Linked DNA regions of Struthio camelus. The protein of the gene in region 2 interacts with the protein of the main gene of each other region in a biochemical or structural test. Links are inferred from orthologs where the notes say so. Each region holds a gene or a part of one and is shown on either strand. Other genes may lie near its edges.

What was found.
Region 1: the proteins of ATF3 (region 2) and JUND form a complex in vitro, tested with the Homo sapiens proteins (2 studies listed by BioGRID and IntAct, with this or other methods). The link is inferred for Struthio camelus from reciprocal best matches to the Homo sapiens genes ATF3 and JUND.

What each region holds. Positions count from the first base shown.
Region 1 is NC_090967.1:5,773,583-5,782,266, forward strand, and holds JUND (transcription factor JunD), read right to left. Parts: upstream 3,350-8,684; 5' UTR 2,804-3,349; coding exon 1,475-2,803; 3' UTR 1,395-1,474; downstream 1-1,394. UniProt on the Homo sapiens protein: Transcription factor binding AP-1 sites.
Region 2 is NC_090944.1:114,228,957-114,238,837, reverse strand, and holds the start of ATF3 (cyclic AMP-dependent transcription factor ATF-3), read right to left. Parts: upstream 3,961-9,881; 5' UTR 3,773-3,960; intron 1-3,772.

The DNA.
Region 1 (8,684 bases), on a different chromosome or scaffold from region 2:
CCCCAGTGGGACCCCAAAATCCCCCCCACAACACCCACAGGGACCCTTGGCGACCCTGGAGCCCCTCCCTACAACACCCACAGGACCCCAAGGACCCCCCCCCCAACCATAGAGCTCCCTGTGACCCCCAGCATGACCTCACCCCCCCAAGACACCCACAGGACCCCAGGGCCTCCCCTCCAGCCCAAGAGACCCCCTCAAGACCCTAGAGCCCCCCGTGACCCCCAGCAGGGCCCCAACCCCCCCCCAACAACACCCATGGGGACCTCTGGCAACCCTGGAGCCCCCCCCACAACACCCACAGGACCCCCCACAACTGGAGAGCCCCCTGCGACCCCCCCACAACCCCCCACAACCCTAGAGCCCCCATCACCCCCAGCAGGACCCCAAAACCCACCCCCAACACCCACGGGGACACCTGGAGACCCCCCATGACACCCACAGGACCCCCCCGACGACCCCAGGGCCCCCACTCCAGCCCCACGAGCTCCCCCCCCCCACGACCCCCAAATCCCCCCCACACCCCCACCGCCCGCGGGGACCCCCCAGCCGCCCCCTCCCACACCCCCACCGTCCCACAAGCCCCTTCGCCCCAAGATGGCAGCCGGCCGCCGCGCCGCTTCCTGCCCGGCCTGTGGCGCCGGCGGCGCAGGCCCGGCCTTCCCCCCCCCCCCACCCCCAAAACTCCCGCCGCGCCCCCCCCCAACCTTCCCGGTCCCCCCCCCCGCCCCGGTTCCCCCCCCCCCCGGTGGCGAAGCAGACAGCGAGAGGCGGCAGCTCCCGGCGCGGGCTTTACTGGGGCCTCACTGGAATGTGGCGGGCGCGGGGCCGCCGCCGCCGCCATCCCGGGCGCGGCCGCCGAGGCCCGTCGGGGGTCGGGGGGGGGGGGTCCCGGCGCCCCCCTCAGTCCGTTGTGGGGGGGGGAAGGAGGGATCGGGGGTCATGGAGCCCCCTCAGTCCATCAGGTGGGTCCCGGCGCCCCCCTCAGTTCATCGTGGGGGTCGGAGGGGTCCCAGCGCCCCCTCAGTCCGTCGTGGGGGGGGGGGAAGTTGTGGGGGTCCCGGTGCCCCCTCAGTCCGACGGGGGTCGGACCCCTTTGCTCCAGTCCGTGCCCGGGAAGGGCAGCGCGGTGGAAAGGCTGGGGGGGGGGGTCCTCTCCCTCACCCCCCCCCGCCTGGTACCTCCAAGTCCATGGGGGTTTTCCAGCCCGGAGAGCCCAGCCCCGACGGCGGGGAGGGCGCTAAGTCCACAGCGGGCCGAGGAAGAAGAGGAGGAGGAGGAGGAAGAAAGGGGGGGGTGTTCCACCACGCTGCTCTCAGTCCACACCAGCAGCGCCGGCGCGGCAAAAGGTGGAGGGGGGGGGGGAAATGCCCCCGTCCGTCCCCCCCCCCCCCCCCAATCAGGTCCATCCGAGGGGGCGTCCGAGCACCCCTCGCTGCAAAGTCCGCGGCGGAGGCGCAGCGGGGCGGCACCCTCAGTACGCGGGGACCTGGTGCTGGTGCTGGGGCAGGAGCTGGCAGCCGCTGTTGACGTGGCTGAGCACCTTCTGCTTGAGCTGGGCCACCTGCTCGCGGAGCAGGCTGGCGGTGGAGGCCAGCTCCGTGTTCTGGCTCTTGAGGCTCTTCACCTTCTCCTCCAGGCGGGAGATGCGCTCCAGCTTCCTCTTGCGGCACTTGGAGGCGGCGATGCGGTTCCGCAGCCGCTTCCGCTCCGCCTTGATGCGCTCCTGCGTGTCCATGTCGATGGGCGACAGCGGCGGGCTCTCGCCGAAGCTCGACACCTCCGGCACGATCTGCGGCTCGTCCTTCAGCGGAGGAGGAGGAGGAGGAGGAGGCGGCGGCGGCAGCCGCGGCGGCGGTGCCGCGAAGGGGCCCGGCTCGGCGGCGTAGCTCACCGTCGGGTAGCTGCTGAGGTTGGCGTAGACGGGCGGCTCGGGCGGCGGGGCCAAGCCGGCGGCGGGCAGCTCTGCCCCACCGGTTCCTCCTCCTCCGCCACCACCGCCGCCGCCACCGCCTCCCGCCGCCACCGCGCCGGTACCGGTACCCAGCTGGTTCTGCTTGTGCAAGTCCTCCAACGCCTTGACGAAGCCCTCGGCGAACTCCTGCTCCTCGGAAGCGGCCGCCTTGGAGTAGAGGAACTGCCCGCTGGTCGGCGTGGTGGTCACCAACCCGTTGGACTGGATGATGAGACGCTCCAGCTCGGGCGACGCCAGTTTCAGCAGCCCCAGCTCGGCCGAGCCCAGCAGCCCCACCGCCGCCGCCGCTTCGCCGCCCGCCGGCCCCGCCGTCGCCGCCGCCGCCGCCCCGGGCGCCTTCAGCGCCGCCGCCACCTGCTCCGGCAGCGCCAACCCGAGCCCGTCTTTCTTCATCATGCTGCCGCCGGGGAAGGGCAGGAGGAGCCCGGTGCTACCGGAGGACGGGGCGAAGCCGCTGCCGAGGCCGCTCAACACATCATCATGGTAGAAGGGTGTTTCCATCCTCCTCCCCCGCCCGGCTGCGGGGGACGGGGCGGGGGGGAAGGAAAACAAGGAGGAGGGGGGGAAAAAAAAAAAAAGCAAACAACAACACAGAGGGGGAAGGGAAGGCGGCCCGAGGCGAGCGCTGCCGGGGGGGGAAAGGGGAGGGTGGGGGGGGGGAAGCCCCGGTAGCACCGGCCGCAGCCCCGGTGCTGCGCGCGCGCGCACACGCGTCTGCCGCCGCCCCGGCCCCCGCGCCGCCTTAAGTACGCGGCGCCGCCGCGGTGACCTCACCGAACCGCGCCCCCATTGGCTGCAGATGACGTCCTTGCCCGCCCACATTTGCATGGAGGGGGCGGGGCCTCGCCCGCTGCTCTTCCCGCCCCTCCCCCCCACTCTCCCGGCCCGCCGTCCCGGGAAGCGGCGCGGGGAGGGAGGGGGGCGGAGGGGGGAGTCGCCCCGCCCACTTTTGGCTCCGCCGTCGCCGGGGCGACCGGCGGGTAAACGGCACAACAGCGCGAGGGCCCCTGGGCTGACGTCATGGCGGGGGGGGGAGGGGCGGTCACGTGGCCCCGCGCCGCGCGCCCGCCGCCGGTATTTATAGGCACAAAGGTTGGGGGGGGGGGGGAGAACAGCACCGGTACCGACGGGTGGTACCGGGCACCCCTCCGCTCCCCGTGCATCCTCCACCGGGCATCCGGCCCCGTGCACGCTCCCCGGGGCAGCCGGTGCTTCCCCGGTGGAGGTGCTGAGACCGGACACAACTCATGGCTCTCACGCCAGGCCGAGCGGGGGCGGGCACCGGAAAAAGGCTGCGAAGAACAACCGAAAACCGGCCCGGGGGGCGGGCCGCGCTCCCCCCCCCACCCACCCCCGACGGCAGCGGGGGGGTCCCGGCCGGGGCTCGTCTTTACCGGCGCCTCGGCCCCCTTTCGGGCGCTACCTGCGGCCGCGGCCCTGCCCTCCCCCGGGGGAACCGCGGCCACGGCGTGCGTGCCGGGCCCCCCCCGCCGCCGCCGTCCCGCGTGGGCCCGGCTCCACCCCCCCCCCCCGACGGGGCGGACGGCGGCGAAGGAGTTAAAGCGGAGCCGGGGCCGCGCGTCACGCTCGGGTCGGGCCGGGCCGCGCCGCGCCGCGGGCGGCTGAGGGGGCGGATCGGCGTCAGCGGTGACGTCAGAGCGGCTCCGCGTGGAGCGGCGCGCGGCGCAGCGCGCGTGGGGGGGTGGGAGGAAGGGGGGGGCCGGCCGGGGGAGGAGGGCGCGCGCGTGTCCGCGGGGAGGGCCGCCCACGCGGGCGCGCGGCCCCGAGGCACGCGCGGGCGCCTCCCACGCGTGTCCGCCCTCGAGTCCGTGCCGGAGCTGGGCGCGTTACGGGGCGCGGCCGCGTTAGCGGGTTCGGACTTTCCGTCCTGGCGAAACGCGGGCGGCGAGCGAGCGCGGGGAGGGGAGGGAAGGGCGCGGGCCGGCTCCCTGCGGGCTCGGGGGGACGCTCGTGGGGCAGCCCGGAGCCCGGCGCGGCGCGTGCCCCCTGCGCACCCCTGTGCACGCCGCGCCGCGCCGAGAGCACCCGGCGTGCACCCCCTGCGCACCCCTGTGCACACCTCGCCGAGAGCACCCGTTGTGCACCCCCCGCGCGCCCCTCGTGCACGCCGCGCCTCGCTGAGAGCACCCGGCGTGCACCCCCCGCGCACCCCTCGTGCACGCCGCGCCTCGCCGAGAGCACCCGGCGTGCACCCCCTGCGCACCCCTGTGCACGCCGCGCCTCGCTGAGAGCACCCGCCGTGCACCCCCTGCGCACCCCTCGTGCACGCCGCGCCTCGCCGAGAGCACCCGGCGTGCACCCCCTGCGCACCCCTGTGCACGCCGCGCCTCGCCGAGAGCACCCGCCGTGCACCCCCCACGCGCCCCTCGTGCACGCCGCGCCTCACCGAGAGCACCCGGCGTGCACCCCCTGCGCACCCCTGTGCACGCCGCGCCGCGCCGAGAGCACCCGGCGTGCACCCCCCGCGCGCCCCTCGTGCGCGCCTCGCCGAGAGCACCCGGCGTGCACCCCCCGCGCGCCCCTCGTGCGCGCCTCGCCGAGAGCACCCGGCGTGCACCCCCCGCGCACCCCTGTGCACGCCGCGCCGAGAGCACCCGCCGTGCACCCCCCGCGCGCCCCTCGTGCGCGCCTCGCCGAGAGCACCCGGCGTGCACCCCCCGCGCACCCCTGTGCACGCCGCGCCTCGCCGAGAGCACCCACCGTGCACCCCCGCGCGCCCCTCGTGCGCGCCTCGCCGAGAGCACCCGGCGTGCACCCCCCGCGCACCTCGTGCGCGCCTCGCCGAGAGCACCCGGCGTGCACCCCCTGCGCACCCCTCGTGCGCGCCTCGCCGAGAGCACCCACCGTGCACCCCCCGCGCGCCCCTGTGCACGCCGCGCCTCGCCGAGAGCACCCGTTGTGCACCCCCTGCGCGCCCCTTGTGCGCGCCTCGCCGAGAGCACCCGGCGTGCACCCCCCGCGCACCTCGTGCACGCCTCGCCGAGAGCACCCGGCGTGCACCCCCCGCGCGCCCCTGCGCATGCAGTGCCTCGCCGAGAGCACCCGGCATGCTCCCTGCACGCCCCTTGTGCACACTGCGCCTTGCCGAGAGCACCCGGCGTGCACCCCTGCGCACCCACTGCGCGTGCCATGCCTTGCCGAGCACCCGGCGTGCACCCACTGTGCACCCCTCGTGCATGCTGCGCCTTGCCAAGAGCACCCCGCGTGCACCCCCTGCACCTCACCGAGAGCACCCTGCGTGCACCCCCTGTGCACCCTGCGCCTCGCCGAGAGCACCCAGCGCGCGCCCCCGCGGGCACCCCGCCGCCCCCTCCCCGCCGCAGCCAGCCAAAATGAGAAACAGCTTTGGTTTTAGGTGCTTTAATCAGTTACAGAGAGGAACGAGCGGCCCCCGGGCCTCGCTGCAAGGGGGGCTGGCCGGCGGCCAGCGACGCGAGCCGCGCTCCGGCCCGGCCCCGCGCAACCCCGCCGGGGCACCCGCGCCGCCCGCGGCACCGGCTTGCAGCACAGCCCTTCGTTTTTCCTAACGAGCGTTTAATTAGGCCCTGCCGCCTGCCCTGGGAAGCGGCGGCCGGTGACCCGGAGGACGCCGAGCCCGCGTCCCGGCTGCTGTTCCCGCTCGCGCTCGGCCCGCCGCCTGCCAGCGGGGCTGCGTTTACCCCGGTGCCCGGCCGCGCCGCCGCTCTTCCTCCCAGCCCCACGGCGGAGATCCTCGCTCTTCCTCCTCGGCAGCGGGTGCAGCCGCGGCAGCTCCAGCGGGTGCAAACGGCCCCGGAGCGGCTCGGTGCCCCTTGGCCAGGGGAGCGGGAGCAGCTCCCCGAGGGCAGCGGGCTGCGCGCAGAGCCGGGCTCCCCCGCCACCGCAGAGAAAGCCGCCGCGCCAGCCCGAAACCCCGGCCGCGCCGCCGCTCGACGACCAGGCTGCACGTGGAGGAAGAGCAGGCGCTCCGGCCAGCACCTGCCTCCCGGCCCCGCTACCCCGAAAAAGGGAACGGCCAGCAGAGCGTTGGCTGCCCCGCGCGCGCGCAAGGGAAGCGGCGTCTTAGTCATCGCGGCAGGGAGGGCAGCGAGCCGGGGCGCGAGGGCTCGCCAGCCGCCGAGGGGGCCGCGCTGCCCCCGGGCACCAGGGGCTTGCAACAATCAGAAAAAGACAAAAAAAAAAAAAAACACATTAAAAAGGAAAATGAGGAGGAGGATTTGACGTGTATTTTTAGTTGCTTAGCGCAGCCTTGAAATATTTCAGCGGCCACTCCCTCCGCGTTGCAGGCGGCTGGCGTGTAACTATTCCTGTGCTGTCTCCCAGACGCAGGCACACAAGCATGAGTCACGGCCGGCCGCGCCGCGCCGCCAGCGGCTCGCCGGCCCCGTGCGAACACGAGCGCGGGGCCGCTTCCCGCCGTGCAGCCCCCCCGACCCACCCCGGTTTTCCGGCCGGGGGCCGCTCGCCCTGCCAGGCCGCGCGTGTCCACGCCGGCATCGCGTCTTAGACCTTTTCCCTCCTCTCCGGCTGTCGCTTTTATCTCGCTCCTCCTTGCGTTCGTTTCAGACGCTGCGATGGGGCCGGATTGGAGCGCCCGGGTTTGTTTGCCGCACGCCGGCCTCGGCCACCCTTTTTGGGACAGGAAGGCAGTTTGGGGAGCGTGCAGGAAGGACCGAAACCGCAGACTAGCTCTGCGTCGACAGAAGGGCTGGATGCCCCTCGCGCGCGGTTATCTCCGACACAGAACCTGCCGCCGCGTCGCGTGCGACGGCTCGGCCTGAAAACACTCCCAAAGAGGTGGAAAGAACATGGCCCAGGATGCAAAGAAGGGGGAGGCAGTAAGGGAACACCGATAAGGAGCACGGTTGTAATTAAACAAAAGCAGAACTTAATGAGCTAAAACGCCCGACCCCAAGCTTCGCGAGGAGATAAGGCGCGCTTAGAGGACTCTACCCTGAGCCGAAGCCAAAGGTCCCATTGTTCCAACGAACATTATCTGGCCAGAACAGACCGTAAATCCAGACACTACTGCAGTTGTTTCCTTTTTCATTAGGGCAGCTGTAACACATGGGGTTTCTGTGGCTGGAGGCAGGGACGAGAAAGGGAGGGAGCAGGTTGGGAAGGGAAAGTCTGACACAGGGCTCAGCCTGTGCTTTGTTAAAATGCCACATTGGTGTTTACTTTGAGACGGAGTTTCCAGGAGGGAGGACACATGTGCCCTGTTCCCACTGCCTGGAGTTCGCTTCTTGGCAGAAGAGCCTCGCTTGGGATGGGGCTTTCGCTGCCGACGCTCCGAGGAACAGAGGCCACGCTGACGAAAGGTAGCCACGCAGAACACGCAGCAGCTGGTTTTAGAGACCAGAGGTTTAGCCAGTCTGCTTGGCTGTTTATTCTTTATGCTAGTGATAGAAGAAGGGTTTTTACAAGGGTTTGGTAAGGCCCAGCTTTGTTGCAGACACAGGAAGGAAGTCATTTTCTACAGGTTGGCGATTTATTCCTACTCACCACTCAGCAAAAATTCTGTAATCATTCAAAAAAATAAGTAGATAGAAAAGCGTGCACTTCACTTACTTTCTCTTCAAAACAGCGATGATGACAGAGTGGACCTCAATATGGGAGTCCGTTGTAAAAAAACCCAACACCCCCCCCCCCCCCAAGTTGCTCACAGTATCTGCTTTTACCTTCAAATTAAACATAGTCATTCAGGAAGTGGAGGCAAGATCTACAGCCTCGTTCTTCCCCCGGTAACCCTACACAGGGTTTCAGTTCAGATCAGCCAGGATATTCTGCAGGTACGTTTTGCTCATGGGACACTGCACCTTTGAGATGGAAGACTTTAAGCAACCTGACCTGGAAATTCACAGGAACTTTCCTGCTGACCTACAAGAGGGGCACGTTCACACTCTGGTCTCTGGCCCCAAGGAAAGATATCTGGACAGTTAGTAGAAAATGAAATGACAGGTACTTATAGTGAAGTCAATCACTACACACCATGAGAAATAAGCTTTAAAACAAACAAACAAACAGTCTCAACTCAGGAATCTGACTGCAAGACTTCATGTCACAGGCACAAGGGAGAGAATATTCAAAGCAAAAAAAATTTAAACTTAACGGTTCCAACTGCTTTTCAGGGAAAAAAAAGGAAAGAAAAAGCAATATAGAGTAAGGGGCATATTAGCCTTCCACAGTAAAACATAAAAACCCCTTTCCTTTAAAGGAAACTTCTAAACTGAAGTCAAAGGAGAAATACTACTAATTGAGAATCCCTTATTTACAACAAAGCTCTATGGAAAACAGCCCTTACAAAGGCCAATGCAACATTCATCCCAAGCTCTCCCCTTAGCCTGTGCTCTAAGGCACAGGAGAGAGACAGAACGGACCAGCCAGAAAGGAGATGGCTTAAATTTTTGTTTTTTTTTAAAAATGAACCCTTAAGACCACTCACGTAAAGATACAACATTCTCAAGCTCAGTGTTGTTAAATCAAAGTGTTTGCATCTGTTACAAATGCAACAAGTTTCCCAAGTTTCAAGTATAAAAACAAAACAAACCATCCTGAAAAAGTGTTTGCCTTAGTTCTTAAAACACTATACAGGATAACACTAAATTAAACCTGATGACCCTGAAGAACTAAACAGCATTTTCACTCTCAGGAAAAGACTGAAGTTAGGTCCTCTACCGTAAGTGATTTTTTTTTTTTGTTTTAAAGT
Region 2 (9,881 bases):
TTAGAACAGCTCTACTAGAAGCTGAAGTCTTCTGAGCAAGGGCAGAACCTGCCAGAAAATCATCATGTTCATTTTTACACAAGACTGTTAAGATCTGGTTATAAACTCCTAAATAGGAGTTGGCACAAACATGAAGATGGACTTTCAAAGCACAGACTGAGCTAGGGGCAAGAAGTCATGAAGAATGTGAAGTCATTTGTTTCATTCCTTTGCTCTTGTAAAATCTGAAACTGTCCTCAAATGCCCTCCACAAGGGTTTTAAATTCTTAAATATTTATGGCCAGATCTCCTGCTGATATAAAACAGTGTAACTGAAGAGACTTCAGCGGAATTATGCTAATAGACACCCATGGAGAAACCTCTCCCTTATTTCTAGCAATTTTCCTAAGGAAATGAACCTGGCCCACGGTGCTCTCCGGGTTCCTCTTCTTAGTCATCCTCATGTATTTTTTAAGCTGGTTGGGCAACGACAACCGAATTTGGAAGAGGGAGAAAGGCCCCCTACACGCTTTGTGAAAAATGGTGTCCCCGCTGAGGGAGAGGCAGGCAGAGCTCAGCAGCAAGCCACCAAACGCCACGGGTGCCCCAGCCGGCCAGCGCACCCGGCCCTGCACGACATGCCCTGTCCCTCGCCCAGAAGAGGTGTCATAACAGGTCTGGGCTGAGGGACAAAAGCTGCAAATCCATATGGAATCAGATTATATTACTCCTCTTATGCATAAAGCAACTTGTTTTAAATTGGATTTGACCATGCTGTTTTTCCTTTTCCTCATTTGTGTAGGTTTCTGTTTTTTTGTTTTGGGGTTTTTCTTTTTTAAATAGCTGTTGGGGTAATTACAATATGTGCTATCTACTCTTGACTAGAATTGCAATAATTACAGCAAAGTCAATTATAATTAACTTAATGCAGGTAAGCAAGTAGCTGCCTCAGGGTAGCAATGTGGGTAAGTTAAATTTCCGCATAGTCAGCCCAGAGCTGCACAGTTCCCTGTATGCTACCTGTGTAACACAGCAAGAAACGTCTGGGCATCACGCGCCTTGACAGGAAGATAGATTTTGCTCAGAGCTATCTAAAAGTGTACCGTAAATCCACCCTGCTGTAAGTCAGAGTAGAGGCTGGTTCATTGCTAAGTGAGGTAAATACAAATCCTGAGGACAGCGAATTGCCTGATGGGAGAGAATGACACTGTCCGGCTGCACAGGTCCCCTCGCTTTCAGACTCGGTGACCACAGAATAGCCGAAGTTTTCCCACATTCTGGAGGTGAAATCCTGAACCTACTGCAGTCAAAAGGAGTTTTTCTGTTGACCTCAGTGGGGCCCGGATTTCACCTTTAGTTACTAAAGACGGGGAAATTATTTGGAACAATTTGTTATTCAGAGAGACCTTGGGAAATTTATGTAATTCTCTCCAGAAAGCCCCTGCTCATGAGTCACGTTTAAAGTACTGATACAGTTTAATCCTATAATTTCAGAAAGCAAGCAGTTACTCTTTTCCAACAAGTCAGAAACATCCCTATAATTTCCAGCTAAACTTCTCCCAACATTATCTACCATTTACCAACAGGCAACCATTCAACACATTGAAACAGGCTAAGTCCAGATAGCGCTGAACCCCTCATTGCTAGCAGCTCTGTTTGCTGACTGTCAGTCTCTTTGGCTCCCGGAGATGGTTCCATTTGACAACGTCAATTATGTTTAATGCACTCAAATCAGGACTCTTAAATTAACAGTAACAACCTACAAAATAATTAATTGGGCTCACAGTTTCCCAGCACTGGTGGTTTATTCCTTTACTCATATATTCCTCACCAGAGGAAACCAAGAATGTTCATATTTCAGCCAAGTGCCTGAGAAACACTGTTCACACCGGATTTCTGTTAGTGCTAAGGGTAGCACTGGCAGCAGTAAGTACTGTACTGTACTATAATATCCTCAGGTACTCCAGTCGGTCTCCCCTCGGTTTAAAAAGAAAAAAGGGGAGTGGGAAGGTGGCCACCCGAAGGGGAAGCACGGAGAAGGAAGTGTCCTTGGCTGTAGAAACTTGCTGCTCTCCTGCCGGAGCAGCTCACTGACCTTCTCAACATCCTGAAAGGCACCTCTATTGACTCAGACTTTAGGGAAGGGAGGGCCTACCGGGGGGCTGAGGTTTGCGTGAGGATTTCTGCCATCAGCCGACTCCCATTTCGTGGAGCTATGTGCCGCCGGTTCGCTGCTCGGGGCTCCGCAGCAGGGCTTGTGGACAGTGTCTAGCATGGTAGGGCTCCTCTCCAGCCCTGAGAGCTGTAGGACCCACCATGGTATAAATAATAAAAATATTCAGCCTTGTCTCAAAGCTACCTAGTAGGCTAAATAGATTTCCTTTTCTTAACAGTAAGGTAGATATTTTCCTGTTTCTGAAGAAGAGTTCTGCTTTTAGAAATGTTTTACAAGAATAAAAATTAGATTTTGTTATTAAAAAAATGCAACAGTTTGCCCTCCCTTCCTTTCTCCCAGTTTTTGTCCAAACGTTATCTCTCTCGATAAGCTATCAAAAGCAGTGTACCATTTTCTTCGGGTTTGTAAAGAACCTAAAACAGTTGGGGAAATACCAGGAACAGGACTGTCTAACCTTACAGGGTGAGCACACTGGGGCCTTTCCGATAGCGTTGCTGTTTGCTCTGCCAGAGCAGGGGCGCGCGTGGCCCTGGGCTCCAGGCTGCCCCGAACACCTCTGAAACCCTTGGCTGCTGAAGGTGCTGAACAGGTCACAGACCTGGCCGGTAAAGGCACAGCTCCCTCCCAGTGTGAGTTAATGCTTCCTTGCCTTATCCCTAGTTCGACAGTTAACAGCTTTTCTCTTAATGGCTCCCTCCAAATTCTGGTAGGCTCAAACAACTTTAGAGAGTTGTTCCCTCCCTACTTTTTGTTTGTTCTTTTACTGATGATTCCTTCCACCTACACTGAACTTTTACATCTCGTTGGACAATATTTTAATTTCAGGATGCAGTGCCTAGCTGTGAGGTCCCCGGCTCTATTACTTAAGCGTATTGTAGTTTAATACTGATACTATAAGTGACTGCTTCAAGTCTTTTCTCTTTGGCTTAGCTGTACACGGCTGACTGAGCCTCTTGGTTTTATTTCTTCACACAAATTCCTTTTCCTCTGGTGCTGATGCAATAAACCCCGATAACCATTGAGGTTAATCTTAAATAGCATTAAGGGCAATTACAGTTCGCAACCTCTGTGCACGCTGGTTGACCTTAAGCCTTCTGACATCCCACATCATTCCCGAGTCACTCTCTGCTGGCTTCCAGCTCCTCAAACGCTCTTACTACGAAGGGAATCGATTTCGGGCAGGAAACTCCTTCTCTCTAGCAAGTTTTCTGTTGTGTCACGCCTGACTCGATTAGGCAACAGTTCAGCAACCGCTCTTCTCCGCGGCGGTCACCGGCACGGAGGGAAAAGTGAGCGCGGCGAGATCGCACGGCGCTCGCTGCCGCTCCCAGGGCGCCGCCGCCGCCGGAGCCGGGACCGGGCATCCCCGCGGGCCGGGCGCGGGCAGCAGCCGCGGGGCCGCCCCGCACTGCCGCCACCGGGGCAGCGGCCGGCGGGCTCCCCCCGGCAGCGGCGCGGGGGCCCGGCCGGGCCGGGGGCGCCGGTCCCAGCTCCGCTCCGCCCGGCTCGTCGGGACCGGCCCCGGGGCGCCTCTCCGCGCCGGGCGGCGGGCGGCAGCGCGGCGGGCTGCGCCCCCGCCGGCCAGGGGTCCCCGCGACCGTCTCCGCTCTCACCTACCTCTCTGCCGCCGCCGCCGGTTTCCCAGCCCCGGGAGGGTCCGGAGGGAGCGGGCTCCGCGCCTGCCCCGCGGCGCTGCCCCGGCCGCGGCAGTCCGCGCTCCGCCGTCCGCGCTGCTGCTGCTGCTGCTGCTCCGCCGCCGCCGGGAGAGCAGCGCCCGCTCACCGCTCGCCGCGCCTCTGCCTCTCGCCGCGGTTGCATCACCCCCCTTATATAGCCGAGTGGGCAGCGCTGGTATTTACTCTGGCGGCGAGTCCCGGGCTGATGTCATGCTATTAATAGCCGCCGCGGGAGAGAGGGCGGCGGGGGGGGCGCGGGGGCCCGCGGCGGTGATGCAAGGCGGCCCCGCCGGCCCGGGGGCGGGGCGGCACCGCACCGCACGGCTCCGCACGGCTCGGCCCGGCCCGGCCCGGCCCGGCGCGGCACGGAGCGCGCACCATAAGACGAGCGAGCCGCGCCGAGCCGTGCCGCGCCGTGCTGTGCCGCGCTGAGCCAAGCTGCGCCGAGCCGAGCCGAGCCGAGCCGAGCCGAGCCGAGTCGAGTCGAGCCGAGTCGAGCCGTGCCGCGCTGAGCCGAGCCGAGCCGTGCCGAGCCGAGCCGCGCCGATCCGAGCCGAGCCGTGCCGTGCCGTGCCGAGCCGAGCCGCGCCGCGCCGAGCCGAGCCGCGCCGCGCCGAGCCGCGCCGCGCCGAGCCGCGCCGCGCCGCGCCGCGCCGCCGGATGGTCGCCCCGCACCTGCGTGCCGGGCCGCGAGCGACGGGACGAGCAGGGGAGAGGAAGGCAGGGGAGGGGGCGCCCGGGGCGGCCCCGGGGTCCGGGAGGGCCGGGCGGCGGTAGCGGGGGGGCCCCGTGCGCTCCGCCGGCCCCGCGAGCGCTCTCCCGCTTCGCTTCTCCCGTCCTGCTTTCATCCTTCCCCCGCCAGTCGGGGGGCGTCTTTCGGCGGGTGGGACGCCTTCTGCTGATCCAGAACGAGCCAAAGAGCCTTTCACCACACTTAGAGAAAGTGAAAATAAGGGAAGATTTTTTTCAAAAGGGCTGAAAAATGTGATCCTACTTCACTGAAAAATTGCTCAGCCCTCCCCTCCTCCCACGCATCCTTCTCCCCGTCCTGCTTCAAATGTCAGCGAAAAGTTCAGTTTACATGTGGAAGAGGACGACTTCACTTTTTACCCTGAGGAGGAAAGACCCATTCAATGGCATGACAGGAAGCTAATAACAAATAACAAAAAATCCTTTTCTTAAAACACGTCAGCTCACGATGTCCTTATGCTTTCAGGGAAAACCAAAGAGTCCGCCGTAGGAGACAGGGAAGCATGGCGGTGTTGGCTGTGGTGAAGGGGGTTTTGTTCTGTTCTGTTCTGTTTTCGTAGCTTCCTGATTCGTTAAACAACAGAAATTGCCTCCACCAGCCCCCAAAGTGCTGGAACATAGATCTGTCAAAGAAACGCTTGCCCAAAGGAGGCGCACAACGCTTGCAAGGGCAGATGCACCCACGCTGTTATCCAACACAAGCATATTCCAGAGGTGCAAAAACGGCCGTTAACAAAGTCTTCAGGTCTCTTTCTTATGTACCAAGTACGGAAAGATCAGGACATTTAAAAGCTTGAGGATGTCCTAACTGTATTAACTGATACATTTATTTATAGCTACAACTTATACCCTGAACAACAGTGTTCCAAAAAGTTAATCAATTTCATAAAGTTCAATGAGGCTGTATTATGATAATATGTCTCCAGTTGTTTATTCTGGGATGTACTAATTGCTTGGAGCATTTTAACAAGGGTATTACATTCCAGTTGATGTAACGTCCGTGGGTTTGTATCTCCCCTCCGTGTGTGACTGCCTGTGTACGCATGTAAATACCTAAATGTGTGTACATTGGTCGCATAGACATGAATAGCAGTCTTAGCTTTTTAAATGGCACCACGCTTGCATGCTCAACTTCACAATCTTAACACTATTTTATACTTCATTGTCTGCTTTGGAGAAAAAAAAAAAAAGGAAAGAAAATCTGGTGGGAAAGGAAAAGAGAGCTTGGACTAACGATGTTCGCTTTCCTCTTGCAGTAGGTACAGTTGTTCCCTGCTCTCCTCAAACGATGAAAGGCACTTTGAGGACGCCGTAATGAGCTCCTCTGACCTACCTGGCAGCCCTCAGTTTGCAACTCTTGCAAACTATAGGCTTTTCTAGCTGTAGGCTCAAGTACTCGCCTATAGATAAATCAATCTCAGCTCTTTCAAAACATGTTTATTATCTTATCTTTGTTAATCTATGTAAATCAATGGCAAATACAATTCCAGGCAAAAACTTTGCTCTTCACAGGGGTCTAGAGCAAGTTTTGCTTTTCAGCTTGGTACAGTCTGTGAAATTTTTATTACTACAAAGGCATAATTTTACCATTCATGCCCCACTCGAAAACAGCTGGCGTCATTTTTCTCAAACCCAAAGGAAAAAGTATTACTCCCGAAGGAGGCCAAATGTGGAAAATTTCATCTCAAAAGATAATTGGTTGGAAAGTTCTGAGCATGAAGTTATTGTGGAAACGGTTTAGCAACATTAGTTTTAGTGGTCATGACCAGGTGCTTGCTGTAATTCTGACAGAGAAGATTTAGCAACTGTCCATTCTTATTTTACTAGCTGTATCATAAATGGAAACTTAGAGTATTTTTAGCTAAGTAGAGCAATGCCACAGAATAGTAAAGGTGAAAAAAAAGCAATTCCCTCCTTCTATGTGGTTAGAAGTACCTTTGGAAAATAAGTACTCTTATCCTGTTGTTTAAGGGTCACTAACATTTGCCGAACAATCACAACACTGCACCAAGTAGGCAGATGATTACTGAGTTTTTGAAATAGTACTGTGTTACACAAGACTAAACCGATACGTTTGTTTTCTATACAACACTTCTTCATTACTGCTGGTACCATTATTGACAATGAGCTACGTTTGGAACTAGAAATTGACAGTAAAACAGTTGTGTTAATTCTTCAACTGCCTCTGAAATGAGAGAGCTCCTCCCTGCAAAACAAACAGAGAGATTGTTCCTGTGCGCATTTAAGATTAGGCCACTGAAACATGTCCTGGCTTGAAATTCTTCTGTAAAAAAAGAAAATGAAACCACAGGGAAAAATAAGCTAAGTTCCAGTGTATCCCATAGGTTTGATCCTGCTCCCAAAGCTAACTTGACTCAGTAAAGATGTAGGGTCCGACTCCAGCTCCCAGAAGTTACATATAACTATAAAGAATATCAGGAAGCTAAACAGTGGAGCCACCAGACGCTCTAATGCTCTTCGCCAGGTTCGTTTTGCAACATGGCTTTAAATACCTTTCATTTGCCTCCCTCTAAACGTTTACCAATGCTCTTCTCTTTCATTTGTCTGCTGCTACCAGAAACTTCAGGGGACAATCCTGCCGAAACAGCAACCATTTCGCAGCCACGAAGTCAGTGTTAATTACTCCTGCCTTCCCTGGAGCCAGGCACAGCAGCTCCTCACCAGAGCACGGACAGCTACTGGGTTTTCTCTCGGTGGAGAAAACACCACCCCGAGGAGCACCCCATGGTGTTGTCCTTGCAGCCCGCGCAGGGAGAGGAGCGCACTCCTGCCTCTACCTTTTCCTGACCACATCCTGCCTCCACATCCCTTCACGCTGCTTCAGACACTGCGGGGATTTGGTTAAGACTAAAATGTGGTTCTCTACAGAGCTGCTAAGCAATGGATTTGCACCCTCACCATGAAAGCTTTCTGCTCTCCCTTGTCTTAAAATTTATGAAACTGTACAATCTCAGTCGAAATAACACCATAAAATCCAGATCCTGTGTGGTTTTATGGTCATACAATTCCACTAAACCCATCTGGTCTGGGGAACATGCAACGAAATGTACATTAAACGTGTAGGGATATCTTGAGTAAAATCGGTCTCCCTGTGTGCTCAGTGGTTTTAGTTGTATTACTGTAGCCCTGGTGGGTCCAGTGTTTCCCTCCATGGCACACATATGAGAAAGAGCGTTCTGGAACTCCGATGTACCGTGTTGCAAAACCAGCACAAAATTAAACTCTCTGCCAAGGAGAGGTATTCGATATTTCCGTGGTGAGAATTAACTTCTGCCATGATTTGTGCTCTGCCGTACATCCAGTTCTGAACCTATGCGGTAAGATACCCCTGTTCCTCAAAACACACGCTAGTTCTCAGACTAGTTTGACATTTGACCAGACCATCAGCAGTGATGAAACTTGGGACTATGTTTTCCAAAGTTGAGGTTGCTACTGCTTGAGCGAAGGGACTATTCTGTGGTAGAAGCAGCAGCAGTAGCTCCCATCCAGCCCAGGGCTTTTCAGGTTGCTGCCTGGGGACTCCTTGGGCATCTGTGGACTGCTTCCAAGGGTCTCCCAAAAGGTGATTTAAAAAAAAAAATATATATGTATATAGTATAGTAGCTGGGATCAAATTCACCATGGAAGCATTGGACCTCTACTGGGAAGCATTAAGAGCCACAAAAACCGAAGGGAGTTAAAAGCCACGGAGTTAAGAGGACAGATATTAACAGAGCCTGCATGGCAAACACTGCTACCTTGGTATATTTAATACTGCTCGAGTGGATGGGCATGTGCCTTGCAGAGGGAAATTAGCTGCCAATAAGGGCGCAACTTTAACTTCTTTTATTCTTTAATGCTGAAGAGAAGATTCATTTGCTCCTTGCTTTTCTCTCCTCAGTTCACATTTCTGTCCTTACTGCTTGTCACCATCACTGTCTGATATCCCTTCTCAATCAATTTAACCCTTTGTTGTCTCCTTTTCAGACCTTCTCTGCTTTCCTCATCTCTTTTGCTCTGTTTCAATAATAGCTCCCTTTCCTATTTCCTTCAAACAGCAACTTCTCCTTTTCTTTTGCCGCTCTGCTCTCCTCCTTTCCCTTCTCTCTCTTTTCCTCACGGTGTCCGTGGGTTCTGCCATCCCCCTTTCTGTGCCCTTCTTCCAGAGGCTTTCTCCCCTTGGTCCTGCTGCGCCTGCCTCTTCAGCTTCCCGAGTTTAAATGAGTCATTTCAGTTTGCTCTTTCACTTTCTGTCATTTTACTTTTTGTTTCTCCACTTGCAACATGGTAACATAGTTGCCAGTGGGTGCAGCAAGATGTGTATTTCAGGACCAAATTCCCCTGTCCAAAAGTACCATGAGCTTTAGTGGAGCTTTACTAAATCAGACGCTCCAGAATTTAGTGAATTCTTGTTGTCATATGCAGCGCTTTTGGAGTGTTTGGGGGGGGCAAGCAGTACAGCTATCTACTCTCTCAGCCAGAGAGAGAGCACTGACTCTGGCCCAGCCAACCATCTCTACAGTTTCCTTTTCCTGAAGCCTTTCTTTTCTTTTTTTTTAGTTTGTAGTCAGATCGTCTTTGCGTACTGGCATCGCAGCTGGCTAAGCACAACAGCCTGTAATTACACTTTCTGAGCTGTTTGGATACATCCAGATAGTAACAAACAAAGAAAAAAGATCCCACATTCGAGATCCCGTATATGAAAGGATCACATCTTAAAAAAGACTGAATAAAGCACAATCACTCGTTCCACTGATCAAGCAAAACGATAGGCCTGATGTGTTAACCGCTCTCCTGGCGGGTGTAAATTGCATCTCTGTTAAGGGGTCCTTATATTCCCATTCATTTTATGGCAAGAAAAGCTCTTTCTTCACAGATCCTCCTCTCCTCTTTCCCCTCGCCACCCTTTCCATCATGTAAATAAATGCCAGATTTTTGTTTGTGAGCGCAGTTACAGATTCATACTGAACTTGGTCAATGGCTTTATGCGTACAAAACTGTTCGCTGATGAAAGCAAGTACTACCACTTGATCCAACTGTTAAGGAAGTCACCGGAGCGATTTCCATCGACTTCAATGAGAGATAAATGTAGCCCCAAGTGACTAAGAAGAATCAGCATCTCGTCGCGGTGGTTGTCAGCGTACCGAACTCCCCTGTGGAACTGACTTGAAAGATAGGTTTAGAAGTTACTTGCTGAAGCTGTAGGTTCAGCTTAGGTGGACTGACACAGTTGTGGTCTGTAGTCTTGTAATCCACCAGGTAAACACCGAGGGTGAGAGAAGGAGAGCGACATAATATGT